Linked DNA regions of Oryza sativa Japonica Group. The protein of the gene in region 2 binds, or shares a complex with, the protein of the main gene of each other region. Links are inferred from orthologs where the notes say so. Each region holds a gene or a part of one and is shown on either strand. Other genes may lie near its edges. The genes, in order: photosynthetic NDH subunit of subcomplex B 5, chloroplastic; NAD(P)H-quinone oxidoreductase subunit S, chloroplastic.

Region 1 (3,925 bases), on a different chromosome or scaffold from region 2:
CCATACACACATCATTTCATCTCAAAGTTCTTTATTTTGAAGAGACTCATCTTGCAGCTTTGCCACCCTGCTTTTCTTTGGAGTGGTTCTGATTTTCTGAACTGTTTCTGCAGCTGCATCTAACAAATGTGACCCCCCATTTCTGAATACCATATCTAAGACGATTTCACAATCTCATCTCTTCTGTCGACGGTGAAGTCCCAGAGCTCGCCGTACTTCTCGTTGAAGTCCCAGATGTCCATGGTGTTGTAGTCGGCGATGAGCTTGTCGCGAGCCGATCTCTCCATCATGTAGATCTCCGGCTCAAAGTTGTGTGGCTTGTCCGGTTTGTCCATCTCGATAACGCAGAACACGACGACGAACACTGCTGCGCCGATGTAGAGGTACTCCCCCTAGTGGCAGAAGTAGACACATATTCAGAGAGCTCAAGAGCCAAGACAGATTGTGAAATGTGATACATGTCAGTAGGCTGGAACTACTGCTCAATATGTTACCGGAACATTGAAGGCCATGCCAAGGATGATTGCAGGAGGAAACAACCAGGAGATCAGTGCTGCAAGAGATGGCCCATCAGTGCAAATTGAGCAAGCTTGTCTTAAGAGAAGAAAGATCTGATTTTTTTTCTCTGATTTATCTGAAAGAATCTGATTTTTCTCTGATTTATCCAAGTGAGAAAGGAATTTGGCTGTTACTACCTTGGAAGCCCTGAGGAGGTTCAGCTTCTTGGTACCACTCAGAGACATCCTCCCAAAAGCCCTTCTTATCTTCAGTGTCAAATGATTTTTTTTTCCACATCATATCACATAAGAATCAGAAATTAGCACACATGAGCATGATTACGCATTTTGATTCAAGGAATGGATAACTGGATAAGATAGCCCAGAAAAAGAACCTTGGGTTTCATTATATGTGTGGTGACCATCATACACTCCATACTCGAAGTCGTCCTGCAAAGCAGATTCTTTTCAGTGTCAAAACCATTTCTTCAGACAACACAGCACAGCAGCAGCAATCACTGAAGAAAGAATCAAAGAAACCATGGAAACTGCTTGGAATAGAGAAAAATAATGAAATTCTCAACACGGTGGCCGGCGACGGCGAGGAGGACAGACCGGGCTGACGCCGTTGGTGCGCCACTTATCAATGGGGTCCTCGTTCAGGTCGGGCTCGATCTCCGTCAGTGGCCCGGGCCCCGCCCTCGCCACCACCGCCCGGCCTCTGCTCCGGCAGCAGCAGCAGCCGCCATGCTCCGTCTTTAGCTGCCTCGCTGCTACTGCTGCTGCTGCTGCTGCTCCTGTTGCTGTTGCTGCATCGTCATGACGAAGGCGAGCTTTTGCAGTGGCAGACGGTGACGCAGAAATGGCGGACACCAAGCTGCTGCTGCTGCTCATCATCTCGCTCCAAACGCTGAGCTCTGCTGCTCGCTTCTTGCTTAGCTGGTAGCTGCTGCTGCACTTATACTTTGCTGCAAGGAGACAAAAACAAGAGGATAATGGGTATGGGGCATGTACCGTCCAGGATTTTTCGCTGCTTTTTTCCTCTTTTCTTTCTTTTTCTTCATGCCTGGAAAGAAATCTGCATCACCTCATTAGTCAGTCAGTAATCAGGTCAGATATGCATGATAATCTTGTGAATGAATAGAACTAGTATTTGTTAGTACTACATTATTGCATTCTGATGAATCTGAATTGTTAGCAACAGCAAGCACAGAGCCTTGTGTTTTACACATCAGGAGAGACAAGGAAAAGACAACTGCAACATGAGGACATGATTTGTAAATGAAAAGAGCAGAAAAAGAACCAGCAACCCAGTGTCACTGTGTCGGACGTCACTGATTCAGTGGCTGAGATACAGTGCACCATCAGCAGCGCTTTTTCACTGCTTCAGTATGCTTTTTATGCGTCATACTTGGCTCTTGTGCCTTGAGTTAGCAGGCTGCTGCATTTCTTGTAGGAGTATTCATTAACTGAACAAACAAGGCAGCAGTTCATGAACCTCTTTCCACATTTTTTTTTACTGAAATCTTTCCACATTTTGTTCCAAGAAGAAACTAAATTTCTTACAACATGCATTAAACATTGCATAATACAGCAGGTCCTACAACAGAACAACAATAGCATATCTGCTCAACTTCCATCGGAGAATTATTCCGCAGCCGTCCAGGACCTATTGCCCCCCTAAACTGCAAAGAAATCAGTGTCAGGACTTCTTGGAGTATTCCAGAAACAATATAATGTCCCATCCAAAAAACCAGAAACAATCTAATGATGGAAGCCTAGAGTCCACCAAAGGATTACCTGGTTCAAATAGAATTGGATAACTAGCTTTGTCTGGCCTTCATAACCAGCTCTTCTGTAGTAGCGCCAATGATCTCATTGGCACGCTTCAGAGATAGACAGCATATTCTTCCAATAGAATCCTGCAAGCATCACTGGCTTTATTATCCATGATTAAAATAGAGAAAATGCGAGTAACAACATAATGGTATTTCATTTAAAAATTCTTTTAGATTCTATACATTCTGAAATTTATCTAAGTTTTTTTTGGGGATATATATCTCACTATGATTTGGTACTGCTGTAACAAGCTGTAAGAACTCACTCTTGTAATGATGCCAAGCCTCTCTAACTTCTGAACAGCATCCATCACCTCAAAATTGCATTGCAAGCCAAACTCTTCTTGGATTAACTCTTCACATTGTAAGTCAAGATCCTAGCATTGAGTGCCAAGAATATTCAACTCAATTTTTATACTTGCACAACTTCAGAAACAAAACATGCTTGTTTCAAATACCAAAGCAATACCTCAATAGTCGCCTTTCCATTTTCCATCAAAATATAGTAGGAAATTATAATCTCCTTGACCTGGACATCAGAATTCAGAAACCACAAAGATGAAAATAATTGTGAGCACAAGTCTCTGATATGCTTATTCTGAATCAAGTACTACAATATGGAGACCTACTTCCTGCTGAATCACATCATCACAGAGATGGAGAAGTGTGCCTTTCCCACTATCTAGCTGTTTGTCATACATTGATTGAGTTATTAGGTTTTGATATGTTGCCATGTTCTGTTGAAACCTGAATCAAAGGTAGCTTATTTACCAAATTTGTCCAATACAACCAATACAGCAAATAAAGTATCATCATAAATAAGAAAATGCTGAAGGAATCAGGGAAGCAAAACTGCATTTTATGGAGGTATTCTAAAGTAATTCTGGCTGGATGAGTAAACAAAAATCCTCCCTGTCCCTGCTCTATTATATACACAATGCAGATTACCGACAAGATGACAAGACGAATACCCAATCAAAACAAATATATCAACCAAGGCACTCACGATAAATAGATCTTGGCACAATATCCAGCCAGGGCAGAAAGGACGGCAACTACAACCCAGAAATCAGCTTTAGGCATTTCGAGCGAACTGACAAGTGTAACCTGAGCAATGTGAAAAAAATAATCATCAGGTGATGAATCACAACCCAATCAAGTGCAACCAGTTCCAGTCCACTTACAAGTCCAATGACAACAGAAACAATAAACTGAACCCAGTCCATTGGTGTGAGGCTTGGATTTTTCTTCTCAGGCTGCAACAGTCATAATTTCTCTTCAGCATAAGTCCAATTGAAGAAAGCAATATGGATGTCACCACATTATTCTTTGGCATATTAAGCTTCTACACTTACCAAAACCAGCTCCATATCTGCCATTGGAATATTTTTGAAGTGCTTTACATGAATTGATCTATCATTCTGGCCCTTAGGGCTTTTCCTCCTGAAAGAACAGTCAGAAATCAGTTATAACACAGTAGTTCAAGACATCATGAAAGCAGCCAATTCACAACCAGGGCGCACCCGAAAAAGGTTTCCTGCATCCTCAGATGCAAATAATTTACGGGACTTACCTGTACAAGACAATCAC
Region 2 (3,025 bases):
TTGGCGGCGGCAGCAGAAGATGTCGGCGTGGGCAGCGGCTCCGGTGAGGATGCGGCAGCAGTACGCGCGGGGAGGAGCTCCGGCGACGGCGAGGATGCGGCGGCGCTACATGCGGGGAGGAGGAGGAGCGAGCGAGGAGGAGAAGCGAAGTCCGTGCGTGGAGGAGGAGCGAAGTCTTCGCGTGTGGAGGAGGAGGAGTGAAGTTTGGGCGTGGAATCGTGCGGTGGTGAATTCGTGCGCGCGGATGGACGGTAGGGATTAATCCGAGTGATTTGGCTCGTAGGATTGGAGGGGTACAACTCCTTTTTATATTAGTATAGATATAGATATAGATGGTGGTAATCAATACAAATTGTACTCTGTTTGCAAAACACTATATCATTATTGTTACTTCACTGTCTTCCTTTACCATCCTTTTAAATCTGCTGCTACACTTATTCCTGAGTAAGGCAGGTTATATAGAAGTAAAGGCCCTATCTTTTCATATACTCTTTCAAATAAACAAAAATCATGGGAAACCAGCTATCAGGCAAACGTAAACTACAATGCATAGATAGTTGCTGTGCGAAATACTGCGGGATTTTGAAGTCATGTCAGGAATAACGAACACTTGAACATTCATACTCTGTACAATTTACAATCATGAAAGCCTGGTTACCTGACTGTCATAGCCTCTTCGCTTCAAGAAGCAAGAGATGATAATTCAAGTTTGTAAAAAAAAAAATTAATCCTACCAACATAATGAACTATGGCAACTGGTGCCCTTGTAGGCATTTCACTAGCAATCCGGACCAAACGTGATCAAATTGATCAAACATATAGCAATTCAACAAAGAAGCTAAACTTTTATCTCCGAATCGTTTGTTTCATAGTGCCAATTCACACTAAGATTCCAACTGTACATATAGCAATTAACAACAACACATTTACTCACTTCGAAATTACTCATCGAATAGATAATATATATATATATACCCCTTTCACTTCCATCATCTAAGAAAATATAGATAGCTGTATACATACAAGAAGAAGCAGAAGCAGCAATGGTGGTCAAGCCGCGGCGGCGGTGCCTTCCTCCTCCTTCTTCTTCTTGGCCTCCTCTCCCTCCTCCTCCTTGGCCACATCGTCCTCCATCTCCGCGGCGAGGGACTCGAGCAGCACGGACTTAGGGTTCACCATGGGCGGGCCCTTCTCCCTCCCCTCGAGCTCGTCGAGATCGAAGGTGATGAGCCTGTCCCAGATCCCCCCCTCGAACAGCACCCCGACCTTGCCGTCGGTGACGCGCTGCACGATGCCGCAGTACATGTGGTAGGCGTTGTTGGGGTTCTTGACGAGCACCACCATCCCGGGGAGGAACAGCGGCAGCTCCGGCGCCCTCGGCCGCTCCACCGTGGCGGCGGCGGCGAGACCTTTCCTGTGCGCCGGCTTGGGGGGAGGCGGGTTCTTGGCGACGAAGTCCTTGAGGCCGACCTCGCCGCCGGGGAATCCGCCGGTGAGGCCCATCATCTCCTTGTCGAACGCGTCCGGGTCCACCCCGGACGCAGCCGGCGGCGGCGGTGGCGACTCCGCGGGCTCGTCGGAAGAAGTGGTGGTGGATGGCGGCGCGGCGGGGGAGTCGGAGGCGAGCTCCTTGCGGATGCCGACCTCGCCGTTGCAGAGACCCCGGCCGCCGAGGAGGTCAGCGACGCGGAAGGTCGCCGAGGGAGGGGGCAGGCGGACGATGCGGGGGTGGTGGTGGTGGGGCAGCGGCGGCGGGCGGAGGAAGGAGGCGGGGGTGGTGGGCGCCATTGGTGGAGCAGAGCGGAGCAGAGGATGTGTGGAAGTGACGAAGCCTTTAAAGCCTAGGTGGATGAGGACCGGGGGTGGCTAATGGGCGACTGGTACTGCTATACGGAGTACAGTATATACTTAAAGTACTACTAGTACTACTACCACTGTACTACTTTAAACTACTACTCCCTCCGTTTCATAATATAAATTATTCTAGCATTTATTACACGTTAACATCAATATGAATATGAAAAATACTAGAATGACTTACATTGTAAAACGGAGGAAGTAGTAGTAACTGGAGTACTACTAACTACTACTACTAAGGCTGTGTTTAGATCCAAAGTTTGGATCTAAACTTCAGTCCTTTTCTATCACATCAATCTATCATACACACATAACTTTTCAGTCACATCATCTTCAATTTCAACCAAAATCTAAACTTTACTCTAGAATAAACACAGCTAACTAGAACTAGTACTAGTACTACTAGTACTGGTAACTAGGACCACTACACCACTACTACTGTTATTATATACTACTAGTACTATTTAAAAAATATATTTTATATGTAAATATATACGCATATACAAAAGTTTATATATAACGTATAACAAAGTTTATGATATATATACAAACTTTATATATGTTCATTTTAAAAAATAAAAAAAAATAGAGGAAAACCATCACGTATATAAATTTTATATATACACTATACGCATATATATAAACTTTATATACGTATGTATATAAACTTTGTATACTGTATATACAAACTTTATATATGTGATGTTTTTTTTTTAAAAAAACAAAGAACCGAAGAAAACAACCATAAAAACCGGCGAAAAAAAAAGAACGCGGGCCTCCCACTGTGCGCGGCCGCCGCGCCCCCTCCCCCTCCTACGCGCGCCACGCGTCCATCCGCGCGGGGTGAGGGGGCACGCGACCAGTCGCCAATTAGGAATTTCGGATGAGGACCTCGTGTTTTTCGACTGAAAATTTTACATTTAAGCCCCTTTTTATTTTTTTTCATAAATAGGCCCCTAAAGTTACTATCCGTAAGAAATACTTCCTCCGTAAAAAAAAACCCAACCTAAGAGGAGATGTAGTGTCCAGATTCGTTGTACTGGGAGGGGTCAAATCCCCTCTTAGGTTGGTTTCTTTGGGATGGAGAGAATCACAAAATAACTCAATCTAGATTCGTTGTCTTAGAATATGTAACATCCTATCCTATATTGAGTTATTTTGGGACGGA

What was found.
Region 1: NAD(P)H-quinone oxidoreductase subunit S, chloroplastic (region 2) and photosynthetic NDH subunit of subcomplex B 5, chloroplastic share a complex: the UniProt entries of both Arabidopsis thaliana proteins name them as parts of the chloroplast NDH complex. The link is inferred for Oryza sativa Japonica Group from reciprocal best matches to the Arabidopsis thaliana genes NdhS and PnsB5.

What each region holds. Positions count from the first base shown.
Region 1 is NC_089035.1:41,426,683-41,430,607, reverse strand, and holds the start of photosynthetic NDH subunit of subcomplex B 5, chloroplastic, read right to left. Parts: upstream 2,173-3,925; 5' UTR 1,395-2,172; coding exon 1,113-1,394; intron 948-1,112; coding exon 893-947; intron 765-892; coding exon 696-764; intron 554-695; coding exon 495-553; intron 393-494; coding exon 156-392; 3' UTR 1-155. Other genes in the region: uncharacterized protein, read right to left, coding at 2,321-2,419, 2,602-2,712, 2,805-2,864, 2,965-3,082, 3,342-3,442, 3,520-3,591, 3,691-3,778, 3,909-3,925. UniProt on the Arabidopsis thaliana protein: NDH shuttles electrons from NAD(P)H:plastoquinone, via FMN and iron-sulfur (Fe-S) centers, to quinones in the photosynthetic chain and possibly in a chloroplast respiratory chain.
Region 2 is NC_089041.1:5,276,495-5,279,519, forward strand, and holds NAD(P)H-quinone oxidoreductase subunit S, chloroplastic, read right to left. Parts: upstream 1,880-3,025; 5' UTR 1,789-1,879; coding exon 1,051-1,788; 3' UTR 826-1,050; downstream 1-825. UniProt on the Arabidopsis thaliana protein: NDH shuttles electrons from NAD(P)H:plastoquinone, via FMN and iron-sulfur (Fe-S) centers, to quinones in the photosynthetic chain and possibly in a chloroplast respiratory chain.